2 linked regions of the Schizosaccharomyces pombe genome follow. The gene in region 1 interacts genetically with each later gene. Each region holds a gene or a part of one and is shown on either strand. Other genes may lie near its edges. The genes, in order: hsr1 and ecl2.

Evidence for each region.
Region 2: of hsr1 (region 1) and ecl2, changing one suppresses a phenotype caused by changing the other (phenotypic suppression), as found in Schizosaccharomyces pombe (one study listed by BioGRID).

The regions. Positions count from the first base shown.
Region 1 is NC_003424.3:1,955,222-1,962,046, reverse strand, and holds hsr1 (DNA-binding transcription factor Hsr1), read right to left. Parts: upstream 4,575-6,825; 5' UTR 2,737-4,574; coding exon 988-2,736; 3' UTR 501-987; downstream 1-500. Other genes in the region: Lid2 complex PHD finger subunit Snt2, read left to right, coding at 1-337. UniProt on the Schizosaccharomyces pombe protein: Transcription factor that globally supports gene expression in response to hydrogen peroxide.
Region 2 is NC_003423.3:960,292-964,568, forward strand, and holds ecl2 (protein Ecl2), read right to left. Parts: upstream 2,225-4,277; coding exon 1,970-2,224; 3' UTR 716-1,969; downstream 1-715. Other genes in the region: meiotic dynein intermediate chain Dic1, read right to left, coding at 1-98; SPOM_SPBP35G2.17 (uncharacterized protein), read right to left, coding at 3,664-3,984.

The sequences.
Region 1 (6,825 bases):
TGGCAACGTAACAGAAATAAATACCAACAAATGCATGATCAATTCCTGGACTTCTTTGCGGCCTGTTCTTTTTGGACCAAGTGAACAGTTGCCTAGGAACTTTTTGTTGCGCAATGACATTGTTCCGAATACTAATAATTCTGCTTGGAGCGAATATATACGCAATTTGTACCCTAAGGCATATATCTATTTACTTCAGTATACTATAGCAGTTTGTAAGCCGACTATCGCGCCAACCAATGTCGCTTGCTGCTGTAGCAAATGTAATTCCACCATGAGTCCTTTCTGGTGGCCTGGCAACATATGTCAGGCCTGTCATTGTTTGAGAGTTGAGTGATTTAAATTCTGCCATAAACTCTCCATGTAATTTTATATTCGTTATTATTATTATTATTATTATTATTATTTTATTTTTTTGGAGTTTACGTTACGTCTTTTATGATACTTTGCAGTGGCTTTACTTTTTAGCTTATCCAGCTAAGATGTTCACAAAAAAAGGATCAATATGTTTTCATCCGAAAACACAACAGTCATTCATTGAAATAGTTTATTTCATGTACATATTAACAACAAATAACAGTATATCTTTCACTGTACATTAGTTTATTGGATTTGTAAAACCGTTCCTTGAAGAACCCCAAAACGAAAATCATTTGTAGCTATCGCTCCGAGCCTTTATGATAAACAACTAAAAAATTTTAAAAAATTGGAACGATAAAAAATCACCGCTAAATAGTCCCTCATAATATAACACGCTCAAGCTTTAAGTATTATATCCGGCGTTATGCCTTGATAATAGCCTAAAGATAGCAAAGCAGGATATGCTAGTAAACAATGAAATTGCCATTTTGAAACGTAAAAAATAGATTTAGTAAACATGTAAATAGGTAGAAAAAAGGCTGATGAAAAATTATAATTGAAAACATTCTTATAAAACAGTTCAATGTAAAAAAAACCCGAATTTAGGCAGTTAATTTATAAAAATGCTTAAGAACTAGGATAAGGTTGATATTGATGCATCGGATTCATTAAAGGCATTTTTTGGTTAGGTGTTTGTACTGGTAGTTTAGATAGAAGTTCTGGACGAATTGAATTTGGGTAAGCAGCGATTTCTGGGACAATTTGTTGAGACAAAGGCCTTTGACTAGATAACATTAAATTAGTGTTTTCAATCTGAGAGCTATCCATGCCTTGATTAATTGGAATCTTGTTTAAATCTTCAATTGGTTTTTGTGGTTGCACTGGAGCACCTGGAGCACCAGAAGAATAATAACCTGAAGGTTGGAAAAAACAGGCTAATCTAGGGCTTGCGTTGACATGCAACCTTTCATGCTGCCGTAAATTATCTCTACGAGAAAAACGTTTTCCACATATACAAACAAATGGCTTTTCACTAGTATGTAGAGATCGAATATGTCTTCTCAAATGTTCAGATCGTTTAAACTTTTTGCTGCACTCAGGGCATACAAATGATTTACCACCTGGTGAACGTGGTACTGAAGTCTTTCTATTAGACGGCTGTCGACGTTTTCTTCTCTTCATCGAACCGTCAGTACCAATCGTCCCTATTTGTTCTGTAGCTTCCATTGAATTAGGGGATCTACCCGATGTGTTTGTCTGATTTAAATACGTTGACATTGTCTCTCCAGAATTATAGGAACCCGTAACTGACTGCTGAGGGGTATCATTATAGGAAGTAGAAGGAATACCACCATTGTATGAATTCACATTAACTTCTTGTTCAGCATGATAAGACGGGCCAGAAGATTTAACGGACGGACATGAACAATTGGAAGGGATAGAGGAAGCCGTAGACAATGGTCCGCTTGAAACAGTAAGACAAGGTGAAGGTGGAAGTTGAGATACCAACGTAGTATATGAAGGCACGAGAGCATTGGGATTATATGAAGGCTGTTGAAAAGGATAATTAGGAACAGTAGTAGGAAAGTTTTCACAATTAACATTGGGTTGAGCTCTCAGTAAGTTATTCTGATATTGGGTATGCGGCCGATACTCATGCGACCATTGGTAATTTATTTCTTGAGGATTGGGAGCCGTAGAAGCTTGAGTGTTATAGAAATTGAATGAAGAGGGAATGTCAGTCGCATCATGCGCAGTATTGGTTGAATACATATAACCCTGTGAAGCTTCGGTATGCGAACTCTGAGGTGGGGCAAGATTATGCTGAGCACCTGCTTTATACCAATCGTAGAATGAAGAATCTACCGTATCATCATACGTTTGAGAAGGTTGATGGTATTGAGCTATCCGACTTTTAGAAATACCAGGATTTTGAGGCGGTGGTTGGAATCCATTGTTGTTATTCAACTGTTGAGTAGTATTGTTGCTATTTAAAGTAGAGCCATCATTATAGACTTGCGAAGGGTGCTGCGATGTGGAAAAGGAAGCAGATGGATATTGAGATGTACCACCAATAAAGGATGTTAAAGGCTCAGTTATAAGTGCAGTATTATGAGATTGTGCGCTACTTGGCGAAAGGGAAGGAGCCAAAGAAAAATGAAGAGTAGAAACCAATGGAGGCTTATTATCTTGTGAATCGACATATGCAACACTAGAATTATGAGTTGAAGGATGTGAGGGTAAAGAATATTCACGACATGAATTGGAGGGTAAGGGAGATGATGATTGTGCTGGGGCAAATGGACTGGTGTTTACCTGGGGAACCATTCGTTCAGAAAGAGTAACAAGGGGCATTGCCTCAGGAAAGAAAACCATACAAAGTAAGATAAAAGAATTATTATAAAAAGAAAGTAAGCGAATACTTTTCAAAAATAAAAAATCAACTAAAGAAAAGACAAAAAGAGAGGTAACGGAATATAGTCTTGCTAACTTATTGTTTATACACTTAGCGTTCGTAATATGCAAGTTTAAGAACGAAAAAAAAGTTCAATTGCAAGGGGGATCCTATCGAAAAAATAAATGATTATGTAAGCCTTAAAATAGAATAGAATTGATACGTAACAAAAGGTATTTTTGACTGCAAACAACGTAGCTTGCAGCAAGAAATACAAGGATCGAAAAGTATAAGTTCGACAAATATATAAGTAAAGCGGAAATAATTGAAGAACAAAACTTAAAAGATTAAGGAGCAAGACCAAAAAAGTTAAACGGAAAGAAACAAACGATCGTCTACAATAACAAGCAAGCCAACAAGTTTATTGACACAGGAAAATCAAGTGTAAAAAATGTTAACAATACACAAAAAAAATACGTTTAAAGGGTCTGTAAAACTCAATGGCACTAGAAACTTGAATAAAGTATGATCGATTTTTAGAAAGCACCGATTTCCTCTTTGAATTTTACTGAAAAAGAAGAGAAGATATGTCTAGTGAGTGAATAAAAAGGGAATAAAAGAAAAAGAAAGAAAATGTATTGATTTGTCGCGGAAAGACGAGTAAAAAGGGAATAAATAAGGGACGCGACAAATCGAAAAAAAAGAAAAGGACGAGAGAACAAGTATGACAGAGTTATAAGGCTGTAGACATCAAAATCAAGACAAAAAAGATATGATTATTTAGATGTTTATAAAAAAAGATAAAAAGCCAGAATTAGTATGAGGCAGAACTGAGAAAAGTTAATAGTACGAGACGAAAGTGTAGTAAGTATCCAAGAATTGAAAGAATCAAAGCAGTAGAGGAAAGATGTATCTGGAATAAAAAAAATTACAGTACAATTATTAGAAAATAAAAAGAAGGAAAGCCTTGATCTGCTGATAGGAAAAGAAAAAATGCTGTGAATAAACAAGCGTTCTATCGAAGAAGCAATGTGATTCTTATAGATTGGAAAAAAAGAAAATTTCGAAAGGAAAGTTCCAAATTAAGATTCAAGAAGATAAATTAGGAAAAAAATAAGCTATTTGAGTGAAACGTTTACTTCACTACCAATGCCTCAAACCCACAGGAGCACGATGTGCAACAACAAAAAAATATGGATTAAGAAACAAAGACAAATGAAATTAAGGGGAAATTTTTAACTTTTGAATAATGAGGATAATAAAAAGGAATGGCTTTTGTACTTTGTAAAGGAAAAGGGTAAATGTATCAATTTATGTTCTGGTAACCTTTGTGATGCAATTCGGTATATGAGAGCCTGGAGCGATTATAAAAGTGTGTATTGTGCACACATATATCAATATATCAATTAAAAAGATTGAGCATATAAGAAGAGATAATAGTGTAAGATGGGTTTGCAAACACTAGCTGAGCTACTCCTTTGTAGGCAAAAAGAAAAAGGAATATTGGAGAAAAAAAGAAAAAAAAGGGTGTGTGTCGAGTGTGAAGGCAGTATGTATGACTTGAAAAAGGAAACGGCACACTCGGTTCCGACGAGCAAGGGGAAATCAGTTACAAATTCAACCGATTGAAAAGAGAAATTACTTATTTTTACTCTTCCCCAAAAAATATACTAGGCGTAGTAAAAAGCGCTATACTTTTGACTACGTTGTATGTATATGTATATGTGTATATAATACAGATGAGCAAGTTTATGTGGATGCAGATATATAGGGATATATGTACACAGACAAACTACCTTTTTCCTAGACGAGAAAAACTAAACGTTGAAACGCCAGAAGAGGCGAGTTTAATATGTGGGAAACTGAGACTAGCGCTTCAATGATGTGGAAATCTGTTCCTTATCTAAGAAGCGACGGTTTCGTTTACACGTATCGACACGATAATACCGTAGCGATGTTACGCAAGTGTGTATCCACCATATCAACCAACAAACGTCTGCAAGAGGCAAAAACTGACGGTTCGCTGACAACGAGTTCTCCCATAAAAGAAATGTGATGATGTTGGAGTAAGCCGATGTCACTGTAACACTCATCACGTGGCGATTGGGAAGACAGCACTTCCACCGTTTATGTAAGATTAGAAAAAAGACGCGATCGAGATTGTAGTGCTGTAAATTGGTATGCCAAAGTAGAAAAAACAGAGAGCAGGTCGTTTTTTGTTACAAAAAAAAAAGAAAAAGATGGAAATTTACGGCTTTATTGATTGATGAATAGTTTAAGAGAAACTCATTTTATTTTATTGATGAGTTTTCAATTTTTTGCTAAAAGTAACCTACGGGATAATCCGAGTGTGAAGAGGATGTGTAGCAAATTTTTACCTACATTCAATCCCGTATGCTTTGGCGGGGAGAGGGGAGAGATAAAGGATGATTATTGGTCAAGGTGAATAAGAAAGAAAAAAACTTGCTGCAGCAGCGACAACGTTCAAGTTAAGCGTAAACCAATGTAGCTTGGCAGATAGAAATGAAAAAGAAGAGGAAGAAAAAAAAAAGGCTATAGAACTGGAGCATATGGTTTGAGGATAAGGAATGTGTATTCCAAACTGAGAGACATAGTTATAAGTATGATTCTTTGTTTATTTTATAAACCATGAAAAACTAGAACTTTTATTATCTGCTACAATGGTTTTTCTAATTCTATTTGTTTACCATATGGTGGTGGTGATGGATGATCAGACAAGATATTGATTGATATCGTACATTGGGGGTAAAGAGGAAATTTTGCTATTGAATCTCGCTCCCATTTTTCGTTTGTAAACTTATTTATTTTATAATTATTTTTATTTCTTTTATTTATTTAATTAATTATTTAATTAATTGATTTATATTTTAATTGTATTTTTGTGCATTTTTTATAAGACCCGCATACTCGATGAATGCAAAATGTATTCTTACATCTTATTCAGCTCTATCTTGGGGTTTTCTCTACTTTTTTTCTGCCCATACATACACACACACTTAGTGCTTTCAAAAACCGACAATCCATGTTTCATTCACTGGATCGGCAGTTAAGGAGAGAGAGTAAATGAAAGGAGGGGCAAGGGGGAAGCAGGGAAATGCGTAGTTTTAACTTTTAACAGACCTTTATAACAAAGATATGAATTGTAAAATGCAGTCCAGTTTAATCCAATTCGCAAGCACTAACTCCATTGGCATAAATACTAACCCACCCTTATTGCTCATCGTGCGCTTCATTCATAAGTTGCTTGCATTGGCTGGCTACGAATGATTTGCTTGGGTACGCAACGCATTATTATTAATTACCTAAAAAAAAAAAAAGAAGGACCTAGCTCCTGTGTGTGTGTAAATTTTTTTCTTTGAAGTATTGAAAGAAAAAAAAATTTTTCATTCGTTTTATTCTTGTTTTTTTTTTTTTTTTATCTTTGTTTCATTTGTCCAAGAATGGTTTTGTGGCAAGTAGCTTAGCCTACATAACGTCTGTTTGATAGAATTGTAAAAAAAAAAAAAAAAAAAAAAAGCGAAAAAAAAAAATATATTCCCTTTGCTAATAAAAAATTGTTTGTTAACTTTCTTCTAGGTCAAGCTGACGATGACTTTGTAATTGTGTATCACGCACGCACTAAGCTTCAGTTGTTAAAAATAAATCGCCTTACAAACAAAGAAAGCAAATCAAATAGCATATTAATTTGTTTTGTTCGTCCGCCTCGCTATTCTATGGATCGATCTCAGCTCCAGTGCTTGGTTTATCTGAAAACTCACTCACGCTACGCCGATACCACCACTATGGGTGTCACTTGCTCCGGGACATTCAACCGACCGAAGAGAAAACAAGGAAGCGGTTGTGAGGAAATACCAAATATCTTTGTAGAGGTTTTCTGACATAGTAACAGAGGGGATCCCATAGGAAATTCAAACAATTACCATTGAATTCATTGGAAATGTTTGCCGAAGGGAAAGCATAAACTACACTACGCTGGACAGGCAATTACTTTCTTTCCATTTCATTAGGTGACACACGCTTCAAACTTCTTCTAGCCGATCTGTATAAGA
Region 2 (4,277 bases), on another chromosome or scaffold:
TTGCTGGATGAAACAGCATCGGTGCAGTTTTCTTTATTTTTCAATAATAACAACTTTGCTCGTTTGATTTCAATTTCTCGTTTAATATTTTTGTCCATAATACACGTTTAATGTATAAATCCAAATATATATATGTTATTAAGGATTTGAAGCTTGAAAAGCCACACAAAAAAATGAGATGTGTAAGGAAGACGCCCGCGTTTAATTTACTGGAATCAAATTGATGGGAAGAAGTACGCGAGAACAACAGAATCAAGTGTTTACGCGACAAAGAATGATATTTTTTTTAACCCTTTGACTTTATGCAAACAACTTCTTTCTATTTATTATTTTTTTTTTAGAGTCTTAATCCACCTTAGTTCTACTGCATTTAACAATTTCATTTTTAGTTTCAAATTTCTAAATATGTATTTCTATTTTGAGCTCTTATAACAAATGCTCACATGGTCCAGTGGTTAAGACTCATCGTTGTGGCCGATGCGACCCAGGTTCGATTCCTGGTGTGGGCACTTACTATTAAATTTATTTTTGCTAATTCCTGCCCTCTAGTTGGCATCCCAAATAGATCCATTTGAATAAAGATGAACACTTAACTAGAAAAGTAAAACAACCTTTCAACCTAATACTGCTGTACAAAGCGCTTTTATTATTCAGCCAGTATTTATGTATTACCTTTGCGCACAAAATAATTCGTTTACATGTCAACCACAGTAGATATACGTTAATTTTTTAATTTTATTTTTTCTTCTAGCAACCAAAGCACTTTAATAAAATTGAATATTTTTAAAAGCGTTTTCAATTTTTATGCTTTTTTTTTATCATAACAATATAAATTTCATCAAAATAAATATTTTATCGTTTTTTAAAGTACTGATGCCAGTTAAATGTCCGTATCGATTCGTAGAAAACAAAGTGCTTGGGTATAAAATAGTTTGATACGCAACCTCTAAAAATTGTCTAATGCAAAAATCCCACGTAAACGATGAGCCAAAAACTGAGAACTTAAAGCACGACACACATAAATAACTCTAAAGCTTCAAAACCAATGGGACAATGCAAAATGTTGATATGCAAAAGAAATGATGAAGTGAGGGAAAGCCTAGAGCTTCTATGTATTTTAAAAATACGCGCTCAGAAGAACTCAGCATAAAGTTGTCCCAGATGCCAGAGCATAATGTAAAAAGCACGAATGACAAATCTCGAATACAGTTAGACAGTGCAAATAAAATGCGATTGCAGAAAAGAAGTAAGAATAGTTGCGTGACACACCGAAACAAAAGTCCATATCATAAGAATAAAAGAATCGTAAAAAATATCCATCGTATTTCGAAAGAAATAAAAAATGCCATTACGAATTGACGAAAAAGTCCGAGTACCAAATCCACTCATACAATATCGTTATCATAGAAAATCATAAAAAACCCCAATGAAGCCAAACAAACATTGTAATGGAAACATACCATCAACATTGCGTGAACGAATTAAGTTGTACAACTCATGAAATAATGAAGTGCATAAACAAAATATACGCACCAACATCATTTGGAAATTTAAGATAGTATGTAAGGATGCTTGGCTATCAATTTAAGAAACATACACGGTATGAACCGCAAAAATCAATGATCAACTATTCACACACGGTTAGTGTAGTGATCATCATTTAAGAAAGGCATAAAAATTTTTAAGTATCATAATAATTTGAAAAAAAAAACTTCAAGTTATAAGAATTATAAAATAAAAATAGGTTTAAAAAAAGGCACAATTAAATATAAGTACCCATGAGAAATAAAAAATAAAATGGAACCGGAAGATAAAGAAATAAGTAAATAAATTTTCCCAGATTAAACAGGAGAAAATGAAAAAAAAAACCGAGATAGAGAGAAATGAAATATAATTTTTTTGAGCCGTTGGCAATGAATGTGTGTATATCAACGACACCGTCGTTGGAATAATGCAATGTAAGGTAAAATTAAAGAACAGCAAGTCTGGAAGCGACAAAACCGTTCAAAAGAGAAGACGAAGTGGATGGGGAAGGCATGGAAGACCTTCTTCGGAAATGATCTAAATATTGGGAAGATAACATATGAAGATCAGCCGACTTAGAGTAAGAACACTGCTCCGAAGTCGAACCACAGCCGGGGCAATCCTGCAGATGACATTCACGAGAGCAATACAAGTTGCCAGTAGTGGGTTTTCCGCAAATTATGCAATAATCCAAATCCATGTCTCTAACGAATACAAAAGGATGAAGAAATTAGAAAAAGAAAATTAAAATGACTTGTTAACGAGGAAAAACCAATGAATGAGCCAAGCTGAGGCGAGCTAGTATTGGATCCTATTGAAGAAAACCAGATAAAACGGATGAGCGTATAAAGCGGACTAAAAAGAAATTTCAAAGTCGAAATATACGGGACGTTTGGAAGATATTTCCGATTTAGTAGAGGAAGAAGAAAGAAAAGAACTTAGCTTCACAATAAAATAAAACAAATCCTTCTCAATTTCAAGGAAGAGATGAGTCCTGCGGGTGATTCAACAAGACGAAAAGAGGTTAGGATGGAGAAAACGAGGAAAAGTGAGTTCTACTCAATCACACAGCGAAACTGTTTGTCGAGGAAAACAAGAGACACTTAAGAAGGACAGTTCGTTTAGTTCAAGCAATCAAGAACAGCGAGTATAAGTCAAAAACCCTTTGCTGATCTATATGTTAATCTTCTACGACCTCTCAGTCGGACTGCTGCGCTCTATATATACATCTGAAAACTGCGCACGCAATCTGTCCAGATGATCTGACCTGAGATACCATACTATCGGTAAAATACGTTAAGAAAACAGCATACACTGTGTTTGATCTCATAATGCACATCCGACCGACTGCATATGCTAATACATTGCGTGAGTTGCGTACAATGTTACCTCTTCATAATTTGATTACAACACACAAGAGAAGAAAGCAGAACGACTGATGTGGGGGATTTGAGTCGGAAGTGGGAAACCGAGAAAAACACTGTGTGTACTAACTCGCATACTAAATGCACACACAAACGCTAGCTCAGCCGGGGTGTCATATACAATAGTAAAAACACACTACATTTTTTATTTTTTCATTTTAATTCTCGAATACTCTTCTACTCACTTTAAGCGACCTTTCGCATCATATTCTCCGCCTTTAAACCCCAAAAATACATGTGAGAAGACAGTTGTACGCCAGCTCACAACAACATGATGCTGATCGCACATCTTTGGACTGTAAAAAGAGGCACCGATGCAGTCAGTAGCGGAGCAAAATGGAGAACCATGGTGATGATGACTTTTTTTCAACGAGAGATTTAAGGCGATAGGTGGGGTCGAAATATAGCATGTATAAAGATGTGCAGGGCAGGGATGAAAAATTAAACTGACGGTTGGGAATGAATGAGAAAAAAAAGAAATTAGTTTAAATTATAATAAAATAGAATAAAATAAATGGAATTCAATAATAGAGAACTAGAGAAGTAAAAATAAAAAGAGAAAAAATAATAAAACAAAATTTACACATGATAGAGATATAAATATATTTCACTATTAGAGAATGGTTTTACTTTTATATATCTATTTATTTATTTATTTATTTTTTTTCGATTTCTAACGACAAAGTGCGAATCGTTTATTGATTATACATTGTATTTATGATAGTAGGTGAGCAAACAACCGGAACTCGAAAAATATTTGCGAAAACTTGCGTACAAAAAGATGAGTGAATTCTAATAAAATGAAATGACTGTGGCATGATTGATGTTTTGTTTCCCATGTCTCAATGAGTAGCATCAAAATTAATTTTACCTGTTGTCCTTGTGCGACACCCATAGCGGGAGAACTAGCTAAAAAAGAAGTGAAATCTCGTTGTTGTTTCACACATTGTCTTACAATTCCATGGAATGACTTGATTCTGAAGACGGTCGGAAGCAACTTTCTGCCTCGACCGGTAACGTAGAATTCACGTACCATTTACTTATACTCATGTAACCTTGTTGTAAGTGTTTGGGATCTTTGAATCTAACGTTCGCGGGATCTAGCACGTGTTACTCTGTAGTTTGCCACGAAGCAATAACTCCTCAGCAAAGAGCTAGGATGCAACACTCTGCCAACAGTAACAATCACCAACTGTAGTAGCTACTGGATCCGATCCCACCTGTGCTTCCTCTGTAGGTATGCAAAACATCCCACATAGGTACATCTATCCCACATTTTCACGTACCCATCCCACATGTATCCATCCTACATACATCCATGTGCTTTGC